Linked DNA regions of Arabidopsis thaliana. The main gene of each other region encodes a partner of the protein of the gene in region 2 in a complex. Each region holds a gene or a part of one and is shown on either strand. Other genes may lie near its edges.

Region 1 (5,681 bases), on a different chromosome or scaffold from region 2:
ATCATCCAAATAGACATGTTGAATGGATCAGTTGGATGGATCTATCAAATGTAGAAACGAACAGGGCCTTAAAACCTTGACCAAAGAAATCTTTGTAATACCTGGCTGATTGTTTCTCATAACATTGAGATTATTTTTAAAATTGACGTAGTAGAATCCCAATCTGTTATATTAGAACCATCTTGCTGATATTATGTTGTGTTCATTTTTATGTACATTGTCTTATCTTATCCGATATCAAATTATGTAACTTGATTTTATCTAAATTGTTTGGAAAGATTAATCTCAAACTTGTAGCTACGGTGTGACATCTTATCCGATCTCAAATCATGGTGATTTTCTAAAAATGTTAAACTATTTCCATTGTTTTATTTCATCGCCAAGCGGTTTAAGTTGTTGAAGTTATTAGTCATTAAAATATTTGCACGATTTAGTTGTTAAGACGACGTCTAGTTATTGCATAATCTATTTCTTTAAATAGAGGTAAATTCGTATTTTCAATATTTTAAAAACTATGATATTTTTACTTCATATTTAAAAACATCAGTCCTTTTGTAAATTTAAGACTTTTTTTAATATATATAATACAATATTTCTTCATGTTTTGAAGGTAAAGATACCTTCATATAAGGATAATATATTTATACTAAAGCATTCTTGATCATGTCAAATAAGCTAGAAACTGAAGGAATACAAAACACTTTTATTATTATTAACCAAGACTTCATGAATCATGATCAATCACAAACTAAAACATAGGAAAGAAGCATTGAACAGAAAACCAAATCCTCAAAATATAACTTAAAGCTCATCCTTCTTGAGCGCGGATGGACGAACACCTTGACCGAGGAAATCTTTGTAGTACTTGGCTGATTCTTTCTCATAACGTGTGAGGTTATTTTTGAAATCGACGTAATAGAGTCCGAATCTGTTATTATAACCATCTTGCCATTCAAAGTTATCTAATAATGACCATACAAAGTATCCCGTAACTCTCACTTTGTCAATGCTGCACATACACAAATTTTCTTGATTAGATCATTCCATAGAATTGTTCTCTAAATAAATAAATAGTAAACGGTTACCAAATAGCTTCGTTCATAGCTAGAAGATGCCTCTGAAGATAGTATTTCCTGTTATAATCAGCAGTACCAACCTCAACCGAATCTTTGTCCTTAAGTTTATCTCCATATCCTAGAAAAACAACAACATTAAGATGAATATATATTTTAACTCCAAACTAAATCAACACACAGTAACCATAAATCTCGAGTTACCATTTTCCATGATCATAATTTCCGGGTTTGCGTATTTATCTTTGATGTACTTTAAAAGACTTCTAAAACCTTTAGCGTAGACGGGCAATGCAGCGGTAAGAGGCTGAAAATAAAACAATGGTGATAGATGTTATGTCGTTGAGAGAAATATTTTAATTGTTTAGTTGTTAAAACAATCTCAAACTAGGACTAGTTTAGTTTAACGCATACCTGGCTACCAATGGCGCTGTGATCTACATTCTTAGCTGAAATTTAAAAGTGAAAATGTATACATATCAATTAGTATTATAAAGAAAACATTTTCTCTTAGTTTCTTGGTTTGGTTTCATGTAAGGAAAAAAAAACTTACGTTCCCAAGCAACAAGAGAATCTTGCTTCCAACTTGGTGTAGACGGATCTGGCTTTTCATTATGGTTTGAAAATGTTGAAGTATAGTAGTTAAGCCCTACGAAATCGGTCGAATCTTTCAATTTTGCTTTTTGTGAAGAAGTGAATTTGGGCAATCTGTGACCAAGAAGGTCTTTCATGATTTGTGGATAATCTCCAAAAGTAGTTGGGTCTAGATGCCTACAAATAATAATCAAAACTCCATCAATTATATGAAATTGTATACAAGACCCCATTTTATCAAAGTATATACCTACCATCCCAACATAAAGTCAAGTACACGGCTAACAGTTGGAACGTCATTTGAATCTTTAAGATCATGTGGTTCGAACCAAGCCGGACTATGTGCGATTCCAATTTTCCCACCTTTAACCTACAAAATGTCCATTAACACAACACAAAACAAATTATATTCATATCCAAAACCTGATAGTTAATTTTGATATATATATCTAATGTAAATTACCTTTTGGCGGAAAACTTCAACAGCTTCTGCATGAGCGTTGAGGAGGTTGTGACTAACTAGATAAGCCTCATAACCTGATCGTCCATCTCGGTCTTCACAACCTTTAAGGTAGCGAGAACAACGTCCTGGCGCCTTCTTGCCTACGTCGTAACCTGCATGAGCGAAGACCCATGGCTCGTTGAAAGTGATCCAGTTTTTCACTTTTCCACCGTATTCAGTGAAAACATAATCTGCATATTCTCGGAAATCTTTCCTGTATTTTTGCAAAAAATGATATTAAACTAATAATTTCCATATAAAATTTAATTAGATGTATTTTGTTTCAATTTACAAAAACATACACAATGTTCTCGCTTAAGAAACCGCCATATTCGTCTTCTAAATCTTGTGGAGTGTCCCAATGGAAAACAGTCACAAACGGAATTATACCTAGTTACAATGTAAAAATAGATAGAAATGTTAAATAATGATACTATATTTCTTGTCTTTTTTAATTAATTAGTTTATATGTATATAACCATTTTTAAGGAGCTCATCGATCAGGTCGTGGTAGAATTTCACACCAGCTTGACTCACTCCCTTCTCCTTTCTCCCATCTAAAAACCCGTTAGTTTGTTTGATTAGTCAATAAATGTAAAATTCATTAGTTATTGATTTATATATCAATTCACCAAATTCGATTACTAAATCAAACTAGAGATCTGCAGACATATACTCACGAGGAAATATTCTTGACCATGCGATTGAGAGTCTGAATGCGTCTGTGTTTAGATTCTTCATTAGTTGAATATCTTCCTACAAACATTTTTAAGACGAGACAAATTTTCAATAATATCTCGTATAATATCAGCAAACTAAAAGTATAAAATATAAGTTATATTTGTCTTAAAATTATATTAATATATACCTTAAATTTATATTAATATATACCTCAACTTTATATTAATATATTATATATACAGTGTGGCTCCTCTCAAGGGTCTAACCATTTCAAAGTTTTGTAAGCATCCTCTGAGTTAATTTTCTCAAAATTCTTTTCAAACAAGAGGCACTTTATTGTAAAGATGTTTTTTTTCTTTTGAATATACTTTAAATTTAGATTCAAAATACATATATATATTTACCTTATAACGATGGAAGAAATCAACGGCCACATCGGCGTTGTGGCCACTACATCTCTCTGTAATTTAAAAATAAAAAGTGAATGAATTTAGATATCTAAAGATATTGTATAGAAAATATAGATTATACACTCACCTGGATTTCTCTTACAGAAGATATCCCATAGAGCAGGTCCACGACAAGTTTCATTAATTGCACCTTCAACCTAATGACATAACGAAAATAGCTGATGAGTTGAGGTAATAACATATGTTTGAATTCAGCATTTGGACTTAGGCTTGAATTTTGATGGAGACACAACACTAATACATATTTTTGAAGTATAGTGTAGTAAATAATTCATTTTGATGTCTCACAGTTTACCTGAAACGCAGCAGTAGCTGTGCCAAACACAAACCCATTAGGGAAACTTGCTCGGCTTAGTTTGGACGTCGTTGGGCACACAGGATCATCGACGGCTATTGTCGAAGAGACGACAATGGTTATGAGAAAAAGAAGCCCCAGGAGAGGGAACTTTTGCAATGCCATGGTTTCTAATTTTTGGTCTTTTGGAAGAGAACAAGTTTGTGATGATTTGTTTACATCTAAACAGAGTTCTTAATTATATAGTGATTTTGATTGTTTGGTAATGACAAATAAGTCACTAAACTATATTTGTTTAATAAATTTATTTTATATATAGGTGTGTTCTTACTTATTTTTCAAAGTTTGGAACATATTATATTACGCGTGGAACATATAATAAAAACGTGCCTTTAAATAAATAGTGTATCCTATCAAAAAAAAAAAAAAATCGTGTATGTCCTATAACTGAAGTCTTCATCTATTGTTGCACCTTCGTCTTAATAATATTTCTCGTGTTTAACGAGCAACAATATTAACATTTAATCTTCCATAATCAACGGATCTCTCATTTAATGTCTACTTTCAAATATGCAACCAGATCTGTTTTACAAGAAAAGAAAAAGATATGCCAACAAGGCCTCGTTAATCATTTTCTTTAATTTTCTATAGTAATGATCCAGATCGAGTTTTTGGATCTTACTTTAGGTATTATTGACGTTTAAGATATTAATATTTATTGAATAAACTTTCATTTACTTATCCCACTAAGATAGTATACAATTATTTAACTATTGTATACGATGGTGGTTAGGAGCAACGTGTCCCCATGAGAAACTTTTGCAATGACATTTTGGTTTTTAGTTTTCTTTTTTTTCTTTTGTCTTGATTAAGAAAACAATTTTAGGATGGTTCATTTATATGTTAGTGTCGTTTTTTATAGCGATACTGATCTCTCATTAATGTCTTGTTTTTAATATGCCACAACCAGGCCTCGTTGATAATGTTTATTTTATTTTACTATATAGATAGATCTAATCATCCAAATGGTGTTTTCGATCTTATCTTAATCATGATTATTATTGACGTTTTCATAACTTAATATAATCTTTCATTATTGGTTTCCGCTTGACTATTATTTAAATAGGATGATTCATTCGATGAGAGATCCCGGGTGACTAAGCTAAACTATACAATTATAAATAAGAAAATCTAGTGTATGACCTATATCTTCAAAATCTTGAACCTGTAGTAGTCGTCCTGATCATAGGATACATTGGTAACTTATGGACCGTAAAACCTAAGCAAAAGACCTTATAATGGTTATCAAACAAGTTATTAGATATCAAGACACAACCTCCAATTAGACTGGGAGTTTGGAATGAGTAATCTTCGGTTTCGGACAAACAATTGGTCACATTCTAGTCGCATGCTGACTGCTGTCAGGACAGTGCGGTAAAGCCTAATTAAGATCAACGAAATTTAGGCATCAAAATTAAAATATAAATGTGGGGCAACTTTTTTGCCCAAAAAAACACAAATTGGGGTAACTATTATTCACCAAACATTTTTCTTGGTCGATCAATTGGTGGTGTAATTGATTATTTTTCTTTCAAACAACTCAATGAGAAAGTCCATTTAGATTTGGAATGACCATTTCTCAAAATGCTACACTTCATGGCCTTTGTGATCGAGGACATTGAAAGCTACTATTTACATGATCAGAAAATCTGGTAAGTTTACAAGTCCATATATATGTCAAATATTGTACCTTGGAAGAAAGCAACTTAAAAATATGTGTATTCCTCTTAGCTGATGCCCTACCAAAGCACATTGCGACTCACTACTCTCGTCTAGTCGTCATAGAAGAAGAATACACTGCGACTAGTTTTTTTTGCTCTCCTAAGAATGAAGAAACGGTTGGTACAATCTTTTACTAACTATGGCCAGTTCAATTACTTACCCTTGGTTACTTCAATGATCTGGATCAGTTAAGAGTCTTTGTGTATCTTTATGGCGTAGTCAAGGAAATGGAAACTTCCAATTAAATATAAAACTATTAAATACTAAAAAATAAAATAAATTCG
Region 2 (4,118 bases):
GGACTTAATTGGTCTGGTGGAGTAGAACCTATGCGGGCAATGAGGAAGGTTAAGGTAGGCTAACCGAGCCCACTCTCTAAGTGTTTAATTTGTAACCTTAATTCGTAAATAAAAGCTGTTTAATTTGTAACCTTTATTAGATAAAATTTTGTCTTTTTTTTTGTCAAAAGATAAAATGTTGTCAATCATTTTAAAAACAAAGAAAAAAACTTTTTTGGCAAGAATTTATATATTTGCTTGTCATAAATTTTCCATTTTGTAGTATTTTGAAAAAAATATTTTAACGAATGGAAGCAATAACTCGACAAAAAGAGTCAAACTAAAGTACCTTCACATGCAAAACAAAACGTAAATTTGGTATTTTTTTCCCATTAAAAAAAATATATATATATTCTTGGCCTTGTGTGCGAAGACGATCGAGAACGAGAAGAACGATAAGCTCAATACGCACGAACGTAGATCGAAGACTGGAAAGGTATATCTTCATCAAAATATTCATGATTATGGTTGAGTTTAATTTTGTTTACGTATTTGTTTTAATTTTTCAAAAGTCCACTGTTGGCTGGCTGTTGCTATCTTGGAATGATTTTCATATCTCAATAACTATTGTTTACTCTAAGTTAAATTATTGGGGTGCTATTTATGATGACTGATGAAGTGATGGGAACATGATTGCAATATTAAAATCTCTTTTTTATTTATATTAATTATAAGTTTGTACCCACTTCATTTTAAATAGATAATGCCAAGACGTAGGTATATTATTACTGAATTTATTTTTTAATAATAAGTAAATATGCAGGTTTCAACTAGAAAGGTAACACATCAACAAGAAATACCAAAAACCACTAGCTTACATATTTTGATCATATAAGTATTGAATAATATAGTTATAGATGATCAAATAGTTATTATTAATTACTTAGCTAGTGTAATTTCTATCGATTGTTTCACATTCGCAACAGATAATTATATAAATAAATACATACTACATGTTAACCTTTGTTTTTGTTAAATAGGATGTTTTCTTGATTGATGATCTAGATCAACTTTTAATAATTTATACGTACCAGCTTTCATTCGATCGTGCGACTTCTTGGAATATCCCATGGTACATTTGCAGTCGAGCTAGAAAGCTTTTTTGATAATTTATGAATCATATTAAGCGTCTCTCAATTAGATTAATATTTAGTACCAGTGTAAATGATACAATTATAAATCTTTTTACCAACGAATACAGAATTTGTTTTAGAAATATTCTTCGCAAAATTTTATAATATTTCATAAATCAGTTATAAAAAAAAAAAAAGCAGTTTTGAATTCAGAGGAATTCGTAAATTTCCCTAAGAGTTATTAAAACTAGTTGTGATATTTTGGAGTATTCTTTATGGCTAGATCCATATGATCCGGTTCTTGTATCTAGATTTTTTTTACGGAATATTGTATGATATATCTAGTCTCCTCTTTGGTTCTAAACTTCTAATTAATCTTCGGTGATTTGAATTAAACGTTACTGTTTTTAAATTATGATTAAGGCTTTAAAACATGTTCATACAATAATTACCAAATCTTAACCAATTAGACTCTTAATAAGGAGAACGTATATATATGTTGCAACTTGCAACTTTAGCCCTTTACAAATAATTAATCGTACATAATCTAATTGATAAACGATTCTTTAAATTTTAAAACAATGAATTAGCTTGCTGCCATCGTTTAATGGGCCAACGCCAATATAAAGACGATTAGTTGAGAAGTTGTGCAAGTAGAAGTATATGAATATTTTCATTATCTAAAAAAAAAAATGTATATGAACATGCGTTTTTCCCAGTAATGCTTTTTATATAAATATGCCTCGTGGATCACGAAAGAATAAATTATTATTTCCCTTATTATTTCATCTAGTACGATCAATATCAAGAAGTCAATATAAATAAACATACAATTCACTTTAATTGATCATAGCACCGATAACAATCTACTCTCTTTAAAAGGTCTTATCTCTATTCTTCTCTATTATGTAAAAATTGGTTAATAGTAGATATTAACAATTTATTTTTGCAACTACAGAAATTCGTAAGTACTATCAAGAAGCAGAAGATGGCCCAAAAGGTGGAAGCACAAGGAGGGAAAGGAGCCAACCTATGGGACGATGGATCGACACATGACGCCGTGACCAAGATTCAGCTCGCAGCAGGCATAGACGGAATTCAATATGTTCAGTTTGATTATGTCAAGAACGGACAACCCGAACAAGCTCCTCTTCGTGGTACCAAAGGCCGTGTTCTCCCAGCTGATCCGGTTCCTATATTTTCCTTGCCCATTAATCTTCTTCTTTCTATATGTATACTGTTATATTTTGAAGTTTTGACATTTTCATCTTGATCTATTTCTACAGTTTGTGATTAACCATCCAGACGAACATCTAGTTTCTGTAGAAGGTTGGTATAGCCCTGAAGGTATCATTCAAGGAATTAAGTTCATCTCCAACAAGAAGACTTCTGATGTCATTGGATCCGATGAGGGTACTCACTTCACTCTACAAGTTAAAGACAAGAAGATCATTGGCTTTCATGGGTCTGCCGGGGGCAATCTTAATTCTCTTGGGGCTTACTTTGCTCCGTTGACTACTACAACTCCGTTGACTCCTGCCAAGCAGCTAACGGCATTTGGTAGTGATGACGGAACTGTATGGGATGATGGTGCTTACGTTGGGGTTAAGAAGGTGTACGTTGGACAAGCCCAAGATGGAATCTCAGCTGTTAAGTTTGTGTACGACAAAAGCCCTGAGGAGGTCACAGGAGAAGAACATGGAAAGAGTACTCTACTCGGATTCGAAGAGGTATAATACTTTCTTTGCTCTTTTTGTTGAATGTAAAAATTATACATCAGAGAATTCAAATTCTCTTCCGGTTTCCATCATAATGTATTCAATTGTTTTATTTGGTTTCCAATAACTGCAGTTCGTACTTGACTATCCAAGTGAATACATCACCGCAGTCGATGGCACTTATGATAAAATCTTTGGGAGTGATGGCTCAGTCATAACTATGCTCAGGTTCAAGACTAATAAGCAAACGTCTCCTCCCTTTGGACTTGAAGCTGGCACAGTCTTCGAACTCAAAGAGGAAGGCCACAAGATCGTTGGTTTCCATGGAAGAGCCGATGTTCTGCTCCACAAAATTGGAGTCCATGTTCGTCCTTTATCCAACTGATGATGGAGCTCTTTATCCTTGATTCCATGCATCTAATAAGTTATCAAATCTATCTTCTAAATTTCTCATATGAGGTCTCTTCATGCCTCTGGTGAATGGTGATCTTTGATAAGTGTTTTACGCGTTGTCTCTTGCGATGTTGTTTTTTCTTTGTTCTTCTTGTGCTCTATTTTAATAAAGGAAGTTTGTTCCAATCTGATCTTTAGTTTCCCTATATGTTCTATAATACTTACTTTTGCCATTATTTGGTTCTGATACTAATTTTACTTGCTATAATTCAAACTAAAATCTCAACGTATGAATTGTACAATTTAAAATGCAAATGTTAACTTTTTTGGATCAAATATATAGTTGTTCGTATTTTCTCAGTAAAAAAATCCTGCACAAAGTTTTTATCTAGAATGTGTGACCATATTGAAGTTTTTGGCCTTCTCCAAACATAAAAAGTTATTAGTTAAAAGTATATGAGTTGGCCAAAAAATACGAACCGGTTCTTGTTTCTAGATTGAGCGTTACAGAAAATTGTATTATATATATACTCTTGGTTCTAATTTCTCTTAGGTGATTTCAATTATACTTTTACTGTTTGAAATAATGTACAATGCTGTGGAAACATGTTCTTACAAGACTTATCAAATCGTCAACCAATTAGAGTCCTAAAAAGGGGGTCACTAATTGTAGAATTCTGACTTATATAAATTGCAACTTGCACCCTTTACAAGTAATAACGTATATAATAAAATTGACGACTCTGTGAATTTTAAAAGAACTAATTAGCTTGCTGCCATCGTTTCATTGGCCAACACCAATATAAAGACGATTAGTTGAGAAGCTGTGGAAGTAAAAAAGGAGTATATGAATATTTGAACATGTATTTCTTCCGGTAATGTTTTAAATATGCCT
Region 3 (5,523 bases), on a different chromosome or scaffold from region 2:
CGTGCAATGAAATCATCCAATTTAAAATATTTAATAATAGTCCTTCTGTATAACAACCACTAGTGTTCTTGTGGAATTTTTATTTTGTTTCAAAAAAAAACATGTTATTTTAAATTTCCAATTTTACTTTTCAAATAAACTTCCACGTTTATTCTTTAATTTATTCATATTTTTGTTTTAAATTTAACACTCACTCTGATTCATTATATAGGATATTTCAGAGATTTATTTAGGATGTTTTACTAATATCAATGCAATTTTTAAATATATTTTATTTGATTATTTGACTATTGGTTTGTATTTTGTATTTTTAATATCAAGAGAACAAATTTTATAATTAAAAATAAATTTCTTAAAGTGTGTGTTTTAATCTAAAACATCATATAATTTGAAATAGAGGAAATATCATCTAATAAAGTAATGGTATATTTGTATAGTTAATGATTTGTCTTTTTATTCGCGCAAAATGTGTCAATTATAAAATATAAAGAGGATATAATTTAGTTTAGAGTTTTAGACACGAGGACTATATATTGGAAAACAAAAAAGTAATGTAAACCATATAGATCATGGAATGAGTCATCCTATTAAACAGTTGTATTATATATTTATATTTTAGTCACTAACACATTAATAACTTAACGTCCATAACAAAATAAGATCCAAAACTCGATCTAGATCTATACGAGGCACTAAATGATCCATTGACTTAGGGCCGGCCGATTGGTTCGAGGACTCCTCATGCTGTAAACTTTTTTTTTGGACATACATGATATATTTTTAAGTCACGTTTTTATATTATATGTTCCACGCCCAATATAATATGTTCCAAACTAGGAAAAATAAGTAAGAATTAGTCAATGATCGAGATAATGCAATGAATCATCCTATTTATTAAATAGATTTACTAAACTATATATAATACAATGATCGAGATCGTGCCATGAAGCATCCTATATACTATAAAAATAGTCTTACTAAATACATACTCATATAGTTTAGTCATTCATTAGTCCAAACATTAAATGAGAGATCCTTTACTTGCTACCTGAATTTTTTCAGAATAAGGTATAACTTTTTTTCGAATTAGAAACTGATTTATGAAAGATTAAGAGTAATGTTCGTTAAACAAGTTAAAAAATATGTTTTTACAATTAAGTTTTGAAAAATAATAAAGTCTCCAATTATTTGAGTATCAAAAATAGGCTTGTTATTATTTAGGGTTTTCGTTGGTTTAAATGCAACGGGGTGTGGTTGTCATTGTGGAAGTTAATGGAAGTAATTGGTTGAGGTTTTAAACGTTATCGGACATTTTAAATGACTGGTTTACAGTTAAAAATATGTGTATTTACGGCAATTTTATGATTGGCTTAGCAGTAGATGCGACAGTGGTTTAAACCAAAAATTACCAAATAAATAATATACAATTATTAAATTATATAAAACACCAATATTATATATTTATATATATATGAACATAGTTAATTATCGAAACCATAGACAAAGTACATAAGAGTTATTCCGAAAAAGGTTTATTATGAAACACAAATAATCATATTGGGAGATTATGATATCCAAAATGGACTAATCAAATAATTAAATCCAAAATGGATGAAGAACTTATATTAGTTCCACGCACAATATAATATGTTCCAAACTAAGTAAGAACACAACGGTCGAGGTCATGCAATGAATCATCCTATATATAAAATAGTTTTACTAAACAATTATATTTTAGTCACTCGTTAACAAACAATCAAAATCGCTATATAAAGAACTCCGATTGGATGTAAACAAATCATCATAAACTTGTTCTCTTCCAGAAGAAACTAAAAACAAAAATGGCATTGCAAAAGTTTCCTCTCATGGGGCTGCTTTTGCTCCTAACCATCCTCGTCTCTGTGACAACAGCGGTTGATGATCCTGTTTGCCCGGCGACTTCCAAGCTAAGCCGAGCAAGTTTCCCTAATGGGTTTTTGTTTGGCACGGCTACTGCTGCGTTTCAGGTACAACAGATTTACTAAATCATAGTTCAAAAAACAAAAAGTAGTGTCGTTATTGTGTTTCTATCTGAATTCAAATCCATATTTTTAAAATATGGTTTTTTTTTATGTAAAAGTTGCTCAAAATATGTTATACCTATCATTTGAAATCATTTGTGCATGTGATATTCCTCAACTCATCAACTATTTTTTGTTATGTCATTAGGTCGAAGGTGCAATTAATGAAACTTGTCGTGGACCGGCTCTATGGGATATCTACTGTAGAAGAAATCCAGGTGAGTGTACTCGTATAATCTACATTCTCAATACAGTATGTTTAAATATTAAATTAAATTTAACTAATTAATATCAATACATAGCCATTAATTTTCTTAATTACTTTCAAATTACAGAGAGATGTAGTGGCGACCACGCCGATGTGGCCGTTGATTTCTTCCATCGTTATAAGGTATATATTAATATAAATTTAAGACAAACATAACTTATATTCTCGAGATGTTATTGAAATTTTGCCTTGTCTTAAAAATGTTTGTAGGAAGATATTCAGCTAATGAAGAATCTAAACACAGATGCATTCAGACTCTCAATCGCATGGTCAAGAATATTTCCTCGTGAGTATATGTCTGCAGATCTCTAGTTTGATTTTGTTTTAATCGAATTTGGTGAAATTAGATTTATGTGATTGTTATATAATACTAATAACCAATGAATTTAGATGATGTATATGTGAATGTTGAAGTATCAATAACTAATGAAACAAACTGTAATGCTTTATTAGATGGGAGAAAGGAGAAGGGAGTGAGTCAAGCTGGTGTGCAATTCTACCACGAGCTCATCGATGAACTCCTTAAAAATGGTTATATACATATAAAATACCTAGTTCACAAAAATACAAGTAATATAGTATCCTTATTTAACATTTCTTTCTATTTTACGTCATAAATAGGTATAGTTCCGTTTGTGACTGTTTTCCATTGGGACACTCCACAAGATTTGGAAGACGAATATGGCGGTTTCTTAAGCCAAAACATTGTGTATGTTTTTGTAAATTAAACAAAATACATTTAGTTAAGTTTATATGGAAATTATTAATTTGGTATCTTTTTTTTTTGCAAAAATACAGGAAAGATTTTCGAGAATATGCAGATTATGTTTTCACTGAATACGGTGGAAAAGTGAAAAACTGGATCACTTTCAACGAGCCATGGGTCTTTGCTCACGCAGGTTACGACTTAGGAAAGAAAGCACCAGGACGTTGTTCTCGCTACGTTCCAGGTTGCGAAGACCGAGAGGGACAATCTGGTAAAGAGGCTTATCTAGTCAGTCACAATCTCCTCAACGCTCACGCAGAAGCTGTTGAAGTTTTCCGCCAAAAGGTAGTTTACATTAGATATAAATCATAATTAATTATCAGGTCACATTAGATATAAATCACAATTAATTATCAGGTTTCGAATCTTAAAATAGGTTGTTTTGTGTTGTGTTTATGGACATAGGTTAAAGGTGGGAAAATCGGAATCGCACATAGTCCGGCTTGGTTCGAACCACATGATCTTAAAGATTCAAATGACGCTCCAACTGTTAGCCGTGTACTTGACTTTATGTTGGGATGGTAAGTATATATTATGTTAGAAAATGGTTTCTCGTATATAATTTCATAAAAATTAATGTAGTTATTAATTTTGTGTAGGCATCTGGAGCCAACTACTTCGGGAGATTATCCACAAATCATGAAAGACCTTCTTGGTTACAGATTGCCTCAATTTACTGCTGCACAAAAAGCAAAATTGAAAGATTCGACCGATTTCGTAGGGCTTAACTACTATACTTCGACATTTTCAAATTATAATGAGAAGCCAGATCCGTCTAAACCAAGTTGGAAGCAAGATTCTCTTGTTTCCTGGGAACGTAAGTTTTTTTTTGTTTTCCGTACATGAAACCAAACCAAGAAACTAAAGATAAAAGGTTTTATAATACTAATTGATATGCATACATTTTCACTTTTTATTTTTCAGCTAAGAATGTAGATCACAGCGCCATTGGTAGCATGGTAAGCGTTTGATTAAACTAGTCCTAGTTTGTGATTGTTAATTTTTGTCTACGACATAACATTTTCACCATTGCTTTATTTCAGCCTCTTACTGCTGCATTGCCCGTCTACGCTAAAGGATTTAGAAAGCTTTTAAAGTACATCAAGGACAAATACGCAAACCCGGAGATTATGATAATGGAAAATGGTAACTCGAGATTTATTGTTATATTTGTGTGTTGATTTAATCTTAACTCTTAAGAGTAATATACTGATCATTATAATGTTGTTTTTTCTAGGATATGGAGATAAACTTGGGACCACAGATTCGGTTGACGTTGGTACTGCTGATCATAACAGGAAATATTATCTTCAGAGGCATCTTCTGGCTATGAACGAGGCTATTTGGTAAGCCTTTTATTATTTGATAGATTGACTAACGATTCTATTGAATGGTCTAATTAAGAACATAATTGTGTTTGTGCAGCATCGATAAGGTGAGAGTTACGGGATACTTTGTATGGTCATTGTTGGATAACTTCGAATGGCAAGATGGTTACAAAAACAGATTCGGACTCTATTACGTCGATTTCAAAAATAACCTCACACGTTATGAGAAAGAATCAGCCAAGTATTACAAAGATTTCCTCGCTCAAGGTGTTCGTCCATCCGCACTCAAGAGGGATGAGCTTTAAGTTATATTTTGAGGATTTCGTTTTCTATTCGATGTTTTTCCTATGTTTTAGTTTGTGATTGACCACGCACGATTCATGAGTCGTGGTTAATAATAATAAAAGTGTTTCGTTTTCCTTCAATCTCTAGCTTATTCGACAAGATCAAGAAGGCTTTAGTTTTAATGACGTTATCCTTTTTGAGAATCAATATGTGAAGTTAAATATGTTTTACCTTCCAAACTTGAAGAAAAATTGAATCATACAACCTTAACATTAAAAAATTTATGAGTTACAAAATGATGTAAGAAAATATCATTAGTTTTAGAAAATTAAAAATACGAATTTACCTCTATACATAGAAATAGATTAGGAAATAATTTGACGTCGTCTTAACAACTAAGTACAAACATTTCAAAAACTAACAACTTAAACGTTGGCGATGAAATAAACAATGGCAATTCATTTTCCCAAACAGTTCTAATATTTTATTTTTGAAAGTCACTAGTTTAGATTAAAAAACAGGACGACCAGCAAGAGAAGATATCTCTTTTTCACTCATTTGGCCAAGCGTATTTTCTATATACCTTAAGGAAATAAAATCCATGCATGATGCAACCAAATAAATCCACCATGCAATACCAACATCATTCATTACTTTGGAAATTCATATTTCATTCTTAGCAAGCAAAAAAAAACAAAAAAAAACAATCAAACGTATGTGTTAATAATGAAATCATCACATTCTATCTTACTAGTAGTCACTTATCAAAAACGATTTATGTAAATAGTGATTTTCAAGATTTTTTTTTTAAAAGCA

What was found. Proteins that work in one complex are often made in the same cells at the same time.
Region 1: PBP1 (region 2) and BGLU22 share a complex: the UniProt entries of both Arabidopsis thaliana proteins name them as parts of the PYK10 complex.
Region 3: PBP1 (region 2) and BGLU21 share a complex: the UniProt entries of both Arabidopsis thaliana proteins name them as parts of the PYK10 complex.

Annotation. Positions count from the first base shown.
Region 1 is NC_003070.9:24,705,958-24,711,638, forward strand, and holds BGLU22 (Glycosyl hydrolase superfamily protein), read right to left. Parts: upstream 4,040-5,681; 5' UTR 3,781-4,039; coding exon 3,616-3,780; intron 3,458-3,615; coding exon 3,388-3,457; intron 3,311-3,387; coding exon 3,255-3,310; intron 2,926-3,254; coding exon 2,850-2,925; intron 2,727-2,849; coding exon 2,649-2,726; intron 2,560-2,648; coding exon 2,472-2,559; intron 2,384-2,471; coding exon 2,131-2,383; intron 2,038-2,130; coding exon 1,922-2,037; intron 1,845-1,921; coding exon 1,627-1,844; intron 1,523-1,626; coding exon 1,488-1,522; intron 1,381-1,487; coding exon 1,278-1,380; intron 1,195-1,277; coding exon 1,086-1,194; intron 1,010-1,085; coding exon 802-1,009; 3' UTR 555-801; downstream 1-554. UniProt on the Arabidopsis thaliana protein: Beta-D-glucosidase active on scopolin >> esculin >> 4-MU-glucoside. No activity with DIMBOA-glucoside, pNP-glucoside, oNP-glucoside and sinigrin as substrates.
Region 2 is NC_003074.8:5,577,460-5,581,577, forward strand, and holds PBP1 (PYK10-binding protein 1), read left to right. Parts: upstream 1-1,830; 5' UTR 1,831-1,994; intron 1,995-2,015; exon of another isoform or gene 2,016-2,070; 5' UTR 2,071-2,100; coding exon 2,101-2,301; intron 2,302-2,398; coding exon 2,399-2,842; intron 2,843-2,963; coding exon 2,964-3,215; 3' UTR 3,216-3,573; downstream 3,574-4,118. UniProt on the Arabidopsis thaliana protein: Inhibitor-type lectin that may regulate the correct polymerization of BGLU23/PYK10 upon tissue damage. Activates BGLU21, BGLU22 and BGLU23.
Region 3 is NC_003070.9:24,699,314-24,704,836, reverse strand, and holds BGLU21 (Glycosyl hydrolase superfamily protein), read left to right. Parts: upstream 1-1,670; 5' UTR 1,671-1,841; coding exon 1,842-2,006; intron 2,007-2,208; coding exon 2,209-2,278; intron 2,279-2,395; coding exon 2,396-2,451; intron 2,452-2,538; coding exon 2,539-2,614; intron 2,615-2,781; coding exon 2,782-2,859; intron 2,860-2,949; coding exon 2,950-3,037; intron 3,038-3,126; coding exon 3,127-3,379; intron 3,380-3,499; coding exon 3,500-3,615; intron 3,616-3,693; coding exon 3,694-3,911; intron 3,912-4,018; coding exon 4,019-4,053; intron 4,054-4,137; coding exon 4,138-4,240; intron 4,241-4,331; coding exon 4,332-4,440; intron 4,441-4,519; coding exon 4,520-4,727; 3' UTR 4,728-4,969; downstream 4,970-5,523. UniProt on the Arabidopsis thaliana protein: Beta-D-glucosidase active on scopolin >> esculin >> 4-MU-glucoside > DIMBOA-glucoside. No activity with pNP-glucoside, oNP-glucoside and sinigrin as substrates.